Oryctolagus cuniculus: one gene and its partners. The protein of the gene in region 3 interacts with the protein of the main gene of each other region in a pairwise test. Links are inferred from orthologs where the notes say so. Each region holds a gene or a part of one and is shown on either strand. Other genes may lie near its edges.

What was found.
Region 1: the proteins of MEOX2 (region 3) and PGBD1 interact in binary tests that used the Homo sapiens proteins (3 or more experiments, as listed by UniProt). The two-hybrid records come from large-scale screens. The link is inferred for Oryctolagus cuniculus from reciprocal best matches to the Homo sapiens genes MEOX2 and PGBD1.
Region 2: the proteins of MEOX2 (region 3) and SPRY1 interact in binary tests that used the Homo sapiens proteins (3 or more experiments, as listed by UniProt). The two-hybrid records come from large-scale screens. The link is inferred for Oryctolagus cuniculus from reciprocal best matches to the Homo sapiens genes MEOX2 and SPRY1.

Annotation. Positions count from the first base shown.
Region 1 is NC_091436.1:153,741,266-153,745,016, reverse strand, and holds the start of PGBD1 (piggyBac transposable element-derived protein 1), read right to left. Parts: upstream 2,331-3,751; 5' UTR 2,101-2,330; exon of another isoform or gene 1-2,100.
Region 2 is NC_091439.1:41,315,393-41,319,143, forward strand, and holds the start of SPRY1 (protein sprouty homolog 1), read right to left. Parts: upstream 2,433-3,751; 5' UTR 2,302-2,432; intron 2,201-2,301; exon of another isoform or gene 1,883-2,200; 5' UTR 1,613-1,882; intron 1-1,612. UniProt on the Homo sapiens protein: Inhibits fibroblast growth factor (FGF)-induced retinal lens fiber differentiation, probably by inhibiting FGF-mediated phosphorylation of ERK1/2. Inhibits TGFB-induced epithelial-to-mesenchymal transition in lens epithelial cells.
Region 3 is NC_091447.1:7,213,554-7,216,545, reverse strand, and holds the end of MEOX2 (homeobox protein MOX-2), read left to right. Parts: intron 1-950; coding exon 951-1,175; 3' UTR 1,176-2,351; downstream 2,352-2,992. UniProt on the Homo sapiens protein: Mesodermal transcription factor that plays a key role in somitogenesis and somitogenesis and limb muscle differentiation. Required during limb development for normal appendicular muscle formation and for the normal regulation of myogenic genes.

The DNA of each region.
Region 1 (3,751 bases), on a different chromosome or scaffold from region 3:
AAATAAATAAATAAATGTTTTAAAAATATAAAAATTAAGTTTATTTTGCTGCAAAAATTTTACCTATGCACAGTTTTTTCATAATATGCATTTGCATTCTTTTTGAAAACCTTGTATATGAGTGACTCCCAAGTGAGACCAGCAGTACAATTGACCACTCAGCCTACAGATCCTGAGAAACTGTTTTAAGTCACTAAATTTAGGGTTTCCTTTAAGATAACTGAAACAGTACACACGCGTCAAGTTCCTTTTTTCTCTCTCCTTGCTTTCTCCTTTTGTGATCTCTATCACAATGTCAATATCTATCTCTTCCAAAACCACCCAAATCTCTGTCTGGTTCTAACTGACCTTTTACTTCCCTGACCTACAACTTGAAATGCCAGCAGGATACCTCCAGCTATAGGATTCTCCTGCACTATAATTTCAATAGATCCCAAACTGAAATCCCCTCAAGGCTGTATTTCACCATGTATTTGTCCATTTCTATTCATATCACTGCCATCTTCCATGCATTTAGGATTAAAATCAGTCAAGTCTTTCTACAGAACGCCTCTTGCAGCTGTTCTTTCCTTTTATCCTACTATCAGTTTAATTAACTAGGACTAATAATTTTCTGTGTGATAGACCTGCTTGAGTCCCTTCTCTATATGGTCACAGGATTAGCAGTTTCTCAATGCACAATTCTGACAACATTCAACACACCTCCTGTGACACTATGAAATATTTACTTGGTATTTGTCCTCAAATCCGTGAAATCTTGGAAGTGAGGATGTCTCTTTGTATGCTTAGGATCAACTGACAGCTGGAAGCTCCTGAGTAGCTTCAGGATGGGGGTGGTCAGCAGACAGACTGAGGCAACATTAGTGTGCTAGGACTTCCAGCTCCAGCCTCAGGGGAGTGGAGACGGGCTGAAGGTTGAGTTGACGGCCAACAGCCAATGACTTAATCTCTGTAATGAAGGCTCCTCAACCCACAAGGAGAGGATTTGGGGACCTGCTGGACAGCAGAACATGTGGAGAGTGGTGTGGATGCCCCATGCCCCTTCTCGCATACTTTGCCCTGTGCAACTCTTCATCCACATCACTGGGAAAACCCTTTGCAATATACCAGTAAACACTGTATGCTTTCCTGAGTTCTGTGAGCCACCCTAGGAAATGAACCAAATCCAAAGAGAGGGTAATGGAAACACGGTTTACAGCCAGTCCGTCAGAAGCACAAGAAAAACCACCTGGTGCTTATGGTTGACATAAGGAAGTGGGGCGCAGTCCTCTGGGACTGAGCCCTCAACCCGTGGGATGTCACTCTCTCCAGGTAGAACATGTCACATGCGACTTGAATTAGAGGACACACACTCAGCTGGTGTCTGCCGCAGAACTCACTGCTTGATTACCTGTCAGTGCAAACGTCAAGCAGGAAGGCTTCCATGTTGACTGCTGTCGCATGACTGCAAGGTTTGCTTTTCCTACCAACCTTCTCAAAGAACGTCTGAATACTTCTCCTTGGATGAAATTCAATCCCCCAGGTTCAATTTATCTCAACTTTTCGAGTGCCTCATTATTTTCAGACATACAGCTAAGTCCTCATTTAAATTCACCTCTACCTTCACGAAAGTCACTGCCATGCTGGCTACTCAACAAGTCTCCATCTTCTGTCCTTTACACCACCACTGTGCTTCCAATGGTAAACTCCCAACGCCCAGGGCAAATGCCAACTAAGTACAGACCGGGAAAACTATTCTGTCTCTAGGCCACGCAGGTGGAGGTGGGGTGTACCATACAAACCTGAAGCCACGCCCCTCTCTCCATTTCACTTCACCCCGACATGCTCCTAAACACAGGAGCTTATATACTCCAAGAGCCCGGCACGTACCTGGTAGTCAACAAACACTGCTGGACTTCTTGACGAAGGCACGCAGATGTACCCGAGATGCCAGTAGCCAGGGCACCCTCGGGCGGAGGGGGCGGGCTGTATCTAAGATTGCACCCCTGCACCTCGCATAGCGCCTGGCACACGGTAGACACTCAATAAGCGTGTGTGTTTCACTGCTGGTTAAAAGACCATTAAAGTTTAGGAACTGTACACAACAAAGATGTAGCCGACCTCGCGAAAGGCTCGTTCCCACCGGAACGCGGAGGCCTGGGAGGTGCCGGCCAGTCTCCCCAGAGGCCGGGCCGCGGCGTCTCGCTGGGCGGGTGAGTCTCCCCGGGGCTCCCTGCGACGAGGACAAGGGCCGAGAGCGCGTCTCACACCCAGAGCTAAGAGTCAACGGTCTCCGGTCTCCCGGTGCCGGCGCTCAACGCGCAGCTTCCGGCGGCTCGCGCCTCTCTAGGAGCGCGGCCGCTCCTCTCTGTGGTGCGTCGGGCGGAGCGCCGCCCCACGCCCGCCCGCGCGGGCCTCGGGCCAACGCGCGATGCCCGGGGCACCTGCACGGCCCGAGCGCGTCACACGTTTACGGAGGGGCTTTCAGTTAAAACGCGACAGAATAGCAAACACAAAGACGAATCTCACTCTTCGGGAGTCTTCACAGAAATGGAAGATCAACCAATAGTTCAGGTCAGCAAACTGTACAGATTATTTTATGCAGATTATATATGTAAAGAATCAATTTGTGCAAAGATGGTAAAATCAAAAGTGCCTCATTCCCCAGAGCTAACTACTGTCAATGTTTTGTGTATAGCATTTAATAAACCTCTTGTTTGGTGAAAAAGTACTCGTGTATATGTATTTTAAAACGCTTAACGGGATCACAATTTAATTTTGCAGCCCACACAACTTATTCTTTTTTTTTTTTTTTTAACATTTATTTATTTGAAAGGCAGAGTTAACACAGAGAGATGAGAGACGGATCTTCCATCTACTGGTTCACTCCCCAGATGGCCGCTATGGCCAAGACTGGGCCAGACCAGGAACCAGGAACCAGGAGCTTCACCTGGGTCTCCCTAAGCACTTGGGTCATCCTCTGCTGCTTTCCCAGGCGCATTAGCAGGGATCTGGATTGGAAGTGGAGTAGCCGGGACTCGAACCAGTGACGACACTGGATCCCGGCAGAGCAAGCTGCAGCTTTTACCTGCTGCCCCACAGCGCCAGCCCCCACAACTTATTCTTTAACAGCTAAATAGTATTCCACTCTATGGGTGTACCTTAACTTATTTAATATCCCTGTTGATGTACAAGCTATTCTGTAGGCATCAGCATTCCATGTGTACATTCTTTTGTGAATTCATTTCTAGGATAAACAATTGCACCAGTGCACCTGTTCAAAGGGCGTGTGCATTTGAAATTTTGGTATACAGGGGCAGGTGTTTAGCACAGCAGTTAAGATGCCCACATTCCACATCGGAAAATCTGGGTTTGAGCCTTGGCTTCTTTTCTGATTCCAGGTTCCTACTGATACGCACTTGGGAGGCAGCAGAACTAGGGTACCTGCTACCCACATGAGAGACTCAGAGTTCTAAATTTCTGCTTTCAATCTGCCCCAGCTCTGGCTGTTGCAGGCATGTTGTAGAATGAACCAGCAGATGGAAGCTCTTTCTCTGCCTGTCTCTTACTGTCTCTCAAACTAAAATTAAAATTTAAAAATAAAATTTAAAAATACAATTCCCTATTAAATTTTCAAGGACACTGCTCTTTAAGAATAAAAGGAGACTCTAGTGGAAAAATTAGCAGAGGTGAACATGCCTTGTCATAGAGTCAGAATTATAAATGACCAATTAACATGTAAAAAGATACTCAATTCAGTAATAAAAATATA
Region 2 (3,751 bases), on a different chromosome or scaffold from region 3:
TCAGCGGATTACAATGATGCTGGGGTCCTGGCCAGAGTCCAATTCCAAGAGAGGCTATGGACCACATCATAGAATAAGAATGTAAGCAAGAGTCCATGCCATAAAAACTAGAAGTTTTTCCAAGTTTTTAAAAGTGGAATCAAGAGGAAGTAATGCCTTCCTGTTTGCAAATCTCATAATTAAAATGGAGCTTGCCTTCATATGGAACCCTGACTATAAGCACTGGACTAGCTGTCATCTGAACAAAGTTCACTGTCAGTTCATCAGTGTTTTTGCGTAAAAGAAGAGATCCATTCTTCTAAAAAAATCAAGAATGGCTTTGGTGCTGTTGCCTTTTTGTTATTTGTGTGCTACTACAAGCACTGGCTTGATGAGGAGGAAATTAATGCAGGCATTTGCAAAAAACCTCAAGAGATGCAAAACTAAAATGGAATCTCAAGTCATTTTCAGTAGAAATTGGGATTCTGATGCTCACTTTTCCTCAATGAGACACAGAAATGAGCACACGAGGAACGCAAGAGGTCCTGGTGTTTTACAGCCACTACAATACATACACAAAACCCAATGCACATTTCTGTGAATGTTCTGAGCGTTCCTACTGGAAATCATGAAATGCCTTTTTTAAAAGCTTAAATAAGGGCTCACTCACATAACAAGATAATTTTTATGCACAAATAAGCGTTAGGCCTTTCAAGCAGTGTGAGGAAATCCTGGCTATCTTAATTATCTGTATTTCCTCTAATTTAAAAATCCTCATTTAGAGGACGGGGCCTTGATTTTCAAAAGTACTGCCAGCTCTGAATCAATGCGCCTCTTGTAATAAAATAAGTACTCTAACATCCTGATAAAAACAAACATCTATGTTTCCATAAAAGTCGTAGATTACTAATTTATGATGTATTCTTCATTTAAAAAAAAAAAAACCTACCAAGCATAAAAACGTTTCCCTTCTCATCAATGGCAAACTAAAATATTTTTCACACAAACACCTTCCAAGTCTACAGATTCAACCCAACGGGAAGAATGAAAAGAAAACACACACACACACACACACACACACACCCTGCCCATTCTCCACTAGGACTCTGCGCCAAAACACTCCGTGCCGGCTTAAGGAGCAGAGCAGAACACGGGGCACTCCCGGCAGCCACCGGCGCCCCGAGACCCTGCCCCGCGCTCGGTGCGGTACCCTGCCGGCGTCCCGCGCCTTCACGCCGCTCGCCCCGCGCGCGCCCAGCGGCACGGTCCCGGCCTGCCGCCTTCCGTCCCGAGGTCCCCGGGGGCTGCTGGAGGCTCCGAATCCTCCCTCCAGCCCAGTACCGCCACTTCTCAGCCCAGAGCTTTGCGAGCACGGGGGGCGGGGAGGGGGCTCTCAATGTGCCAAGAGTCCTGCAAAGGGGCCCTATCATCCCCACCACGCGCAACTTTCATTCTGATGGCCGGAACCAAGTCCACGCTGGCGGGGAGACTAAGTCGCCCAGATCCCACCCCGACTCTCCCAAACGCACAAAACCCCAACAAAATCTACCGCCTGGCACCCGAAGGGGAAGCCCCCCGGCCCCTGCCCGCGCGCGCACACGCGCCCCCGGAGCCGCGAGGCGAAGCGGCATACCTGTGCGGGCAATCCCGTCACATCCTCCGCGTCCCCGGGGGTCTCCAGCACACTCTCTGCGCAGGACACCGAGGGTTCCGGCCAATCGCGCCGAGCCTTCCGAGCGAGCCCGCGGCGGCCGGCGTCTAGGCGAGCGTCCGTCTACACTTTAAAGGACACGCCGCAGTCGCGGAGCGCTGGGGCCGAGCGCGCCGGGGCAGGGGCCGCAGCGGAGCGTCGCCGCCACATTGCCCGGTTACGACGGTGGAGCTGCGCCCTCTGCAATCCGCGCTGAGAGGAGCGGGGAATAAATAGTGGACGCAGAGGAAGGAAAAGGAAAAAGTTATGAATGAAAACAAGTTTTCTCTCTCTCTCTCCCTCTAGCTCCGGCAGGAGGCGGGAGGAGGCTGAGGTTACCATTACCTCAGGAGGGCGGACTTCCCCACTGTTAAAGTGGCAGTGCCCTCTCCCCTCGCCTCGCCGCCGCTCCCCAAACAAGCTCCGCGGCGCACGCGGGTTCTGTCCCGGGGTGGGGGGCTTCACCGCCCTCCACGAGCGCGCGCACACGGTCTTTCCCGACCCCACGTCCGAGCGCGGACTCCACCGCAGAAAGCCCGCTGGTGGCACAAGCCAGGACACTCCTGCCCCCCACCCAGGGAAACACCCCCACGAAAGCCCCCCGAATCCATCTTTCGCGTGGAGACCACAACCTGGGCCACGGCAACACCCGCTCCAAGCAACTAAGCACCGGAAGACCCTGCCTCGTCGTTGTCCTGGGCCGCGCAAGGTCGCCCCCCCACACACCCCGGCTGCCCACCCCCGAGCTCCCCCGCCCCCACCGCCCTGAGCCGCAGCCCCCAGGACGCGAGGGGCGGCGGGCGGAGCCTGCGACGCGCGGCCTCGGCCCTCCCCGGCCCTGCCCCTCCGGTCCGGGAGCCCCGCACCTGCCGCGCCGAGCAAGCCCCGCCCGCGCGCCGCCCGCCCGCCCGCCTGCCTGCCCGCGGGCGGCCGCCGCCGCGCACTCACCTAGGCCGAAGCGCTGGAGGGCAGCCAAGCCGAGCGAGCCGGCCCTGGTCTCGGTGCGGGCGGCGTCGTGCACGCGCCGCATCAACCGCGGCGCGCAGGACGAGCAGGCATCGCCCAGGCTGCAAGGAGTGGGCCCGCGCGGCCTCCCTCGCCCCCGCCGCAGCCGGGCAGGAGCGCTCCCCGCGGCCCCCTTCCGGCTGCGGACAGCAGTTCTGCGGCCGCTCGCCTTCGGCCGGGCGCGCAGACCTCTCACGGCTCCAGTCCCATCCACCTCGGGGCCGTTCCTCTGCAGCCCGACTGGCAAGAGCTAGCTAGTCAGAGTCCCTTCGGGAGGCCTCTCCGAGTCTCAGAAAAGCGAGCAGGGGCGCGGCGGAGAGAAGAGTGCGTGACGGGCCAGCTGACTGGCACGGTGTGCTCGGACCAGAGTGTACTTCTCGGGTGCCAATCGCTCCTCGCGGGGAGGGACGGAGGGGCGGCGGCCTCCTGACGAGTGAAAATCCACGTCACGGGCGTTCGAGACTTCACGGCGCCCGGGACAGGGCTCGCACAGGCGTCGGGCGGGCGGGTCGCGGAGCCGCGGCAGGCCCCGGCCGGACCCCGGAGGGCACGCGCCCGCGAGGCTGCCGCTGCCGGGTGGGGGGTAGTAGGGGGGTTGTCTGCCGCTTTGGGGAGGGGGCTGTGGAGGAGCGAAGTTTGGGGGTCCTTCTCAGAGAGAAAACAGAGACCGGCGTCGTCCCTTGTCCCCCGCACAGGCCGAGGCGCTTTCTCGGTGCCGCACGCCGGGCAAGTGGGGGGCACAGTGTGTCCGCGGGCAGCCTCTCCCGGAGAGCGCTCAGTCCCGGTCCTCCGACCCTGCGCGTCCACGGCCGGGATCCCCGCTACAGGGTTCAGAGAGAGAAACTCATGAATTTCCTTTCTCCCCAGGCCCTGGGCCGCCCGCTCCGCCGGGCCGAGGGAGCGGGGCGGGCCGCTGGCCAGCTCTCGCCCGCCGCCCGCAGCCCGCTGCCATGTGCCGCCTGTTGCTGCTGCCCGTGATTGACAGGCCGGCGCACGGTCGGCGTGTCAGCGGCGAGCCCAAGTAACATGCAGACTTGCACGTTTTTGCCCAAGTGCTTTTGCCCCCTTGGAATGCCT
Region 3 (2,992 bases):
TTCAGACCAGAGACATGGAGGTATTTCATAGAATAGAATAATGGGCTATTAGCTTTTTTAAAAACAAAATTCATTTTTCTATGAGAAAGAGAGAGAGAGAGGCCTTCCATACACTGGTTCACTCCTCAAATGCCAGCACTTTCCAGGTGCAGAAGCAGGGAGTGAATTGGACACAGAGCAGCCAGGACTCCTAGTGTTCCAACATGGGACACGGTGGTGTCGCAGGCAGCAGTCTAACCCACTGAGCCACAACACCAGCTCTGGATCCTAAACTCTTAAAAGTTGCTTCACTTCATTAGAAAACAGGAAAGACAAAATAAAAGCACATAGAGATAACATTTATTGTCATCGTGTTGGAAAAAAAAGTCGAACCTGGTAAATCCAAATGCTGGCATAGATGTGGGTTACTTGAACTTTTATGCCCTGGAATGAATAGGGAAACTAAGCTGATAAAACCTTGGAAAACAGTTTTTCACATTAGTGTGTTAAGATGAATGTGCACATAACATTCAACCCATTGATGAAGCTCCTGGCTACATAACCAGGTATGTCCCTTCCCATGCTTATCAGGGCACCAGTACAAGAGCAGAGCCAAATACCTTGGAGACATCTTGAATGATAAGTCCTTTCTTGTCTACTTTTTATTGTTGTGATTTTTAATTTTAAATCCCCAAGGAAAAAAAAAACTGGGAGGTAATACTACAATGAATTCCCTTTGTTGTAAAATATGAAGGGTAACCATCTGCATGCATCTTCTGAATGTTTATAAATTATCATCATGAATACCAACCTGATTTAACTCAGGATGGATTTATTTTTGTATTTACGCCTCCTACATGGTGTCTTCGTGTAAGCCTTTGAGAATCTGTTCCTCCTAGGTAGGCCAAAAGGAGAAAGCACTCGAATTTAATGTTCTGTTTTGCTTTGTGTGTTCTCTTTCTTTGTCCAAGGTCAAAGTGTGGTTCCAGAACAGGCGGATGAAGTGGAAGAGGGTAAAAGGGGGCCAGCAGGGCGCTGCCGCCCGAGAAAAGGAACTGGTGAACGTGAAGAAAGGAACCCTGCTCCCTTCAGAGCTGTCGGGGATCGGTGCGGCCACACTCCAGCAAACAGGGGACTCTCTGGCCAACGAAGACAGCCACGACAGCGACCACAGCTCAGAGCATGCACACTTATGATCCACACAGACAGGACCAGCTCCATTCTCAGGAAAGAAGCGTCGTGATGGCAAGCCTTACCCAACAGCGTTTACACAGAGAGATGGCCATGGCCGTGATTTTTAATATTATTAAATTCAGGCATCGTGTTTCTGTTTTGCATGATTTATAGAGGGTTTACACTAAGTGCCAATTATCCAAGATGCTTCCATGATGAAGATCAGAAGGTGAATTTGCTTCGAATATTCCAGAGATATTTGGTTGTGTGTATGACAGTGAGCAGGTATGTTTGCTTTTGCTTGCACTGAAAAATTAAATGGCTACCAAGAGCAAATTATGACACATTTCTACACAAGATGCCTCCAGAGTGAAGACATTGAAGATGAACTTGCTTTAAACATTCCAGATGTACGAGTTCATGTTTATGACTGTGGGCAGGTATTTGCTTTTGCTTGCACTGAGAAATTGCTATCAAGAATAAAACATAAAACCTTTTATCCTGAACAGCCAAAGTGCCTGAGATCACTCAAGTGGATTTTTAAAAAGGATGTATTTTAACTCTGTATATATTATCCTTAAGTCATTTTCCTGTCTTCACTAATTTTAGCAATACATTCATATTAGCTGATGAAAATAGGCACTGATAATGCCAACCAGGCCAGCTTCCTGCCTTTTTATGCATTTGTCATTCCGAGACAGTCCGTATGTGCTTACTTGTGTACAAGTAGAGAAAAATACAGTAGAGTCTGATACGACATATTCTTGTACCACAGACAAAACAAATCTTATGTTGCATTTACTATCAACTGCTGCTAATACATTATTATACAACTTACCTAGCTCCTCCTCGATTTTTCCTATCTTGTAGCTTGAAAAAAAAAATAGGACCATAGGCAAATCAGTTACTTTGTGGAAAGAGCTTTTTTGAGGCAGACACTGTCTGATTTTATTTCTGTAAAATTTTAGCTGTTATGAATATGACTTAATTAACAAGAAAATGTTTCTTCCTTCTTAGCAATGGTGTCAGAAAAGGAGCAAAGCCAAATGGGCTCCCCAAGGAGATAGACAAAACAATTCTGAATATCTTCAAATTAAATTCAGTAAAAACACGTTATTTTTAATATGTGATGTATTCTTGCAGAACAACCATCTTTGTATTTTGTAAAAAATGTTTAATAAATGATCCTTTGTAAATAATTTTGGTCTACCCATTGTGATTTCCTTAATTTCTACAGATTTTAATATTCATATCTAAGAGAGCCCCAGACTCATCTGCTCTTGTGCTAATTCACATCCAGATCATTAATGAATCACAGGTTTTCATTTGTAGATTTATTATGGCAAGAAAAAAAAAATCAATCCTTGGGTGATCAAAGAGAATCTAAACATCATCATACTGTAAACCATTTTCTTAATTTGAAGAATATGGCAAATGAATGTCTTTGCATGCTTTACAAATCAAAGATAAAAGTAAGGGAAAAGGTAACATTATTCACCACAATGAATAAGTAAAGTAGTCATATATTTTAAAATGTATGTTTAACATATGTGAATCGATGCAGTAGTTGCTCTAAAGTCACACTATCCAGAGTCCTTGATGTTACTATGAGCTAAATAGCAAATCAGAATCTTCATTGGAATGGACACCACAGGTATCAGAAGTCAATTATTATATTAACTTAAAACATTTTGTGTCATGCATGGTTGCACATGCATTGGATGCCTAAGACCTACTTACAACTATATCAGGTTATTTTTTAACTGTTCCACATTTAACCAGAAGCATTTGGAAACATTACCATAATCCCATCTTTCTCCATAGAAATAAACAGAGAAAA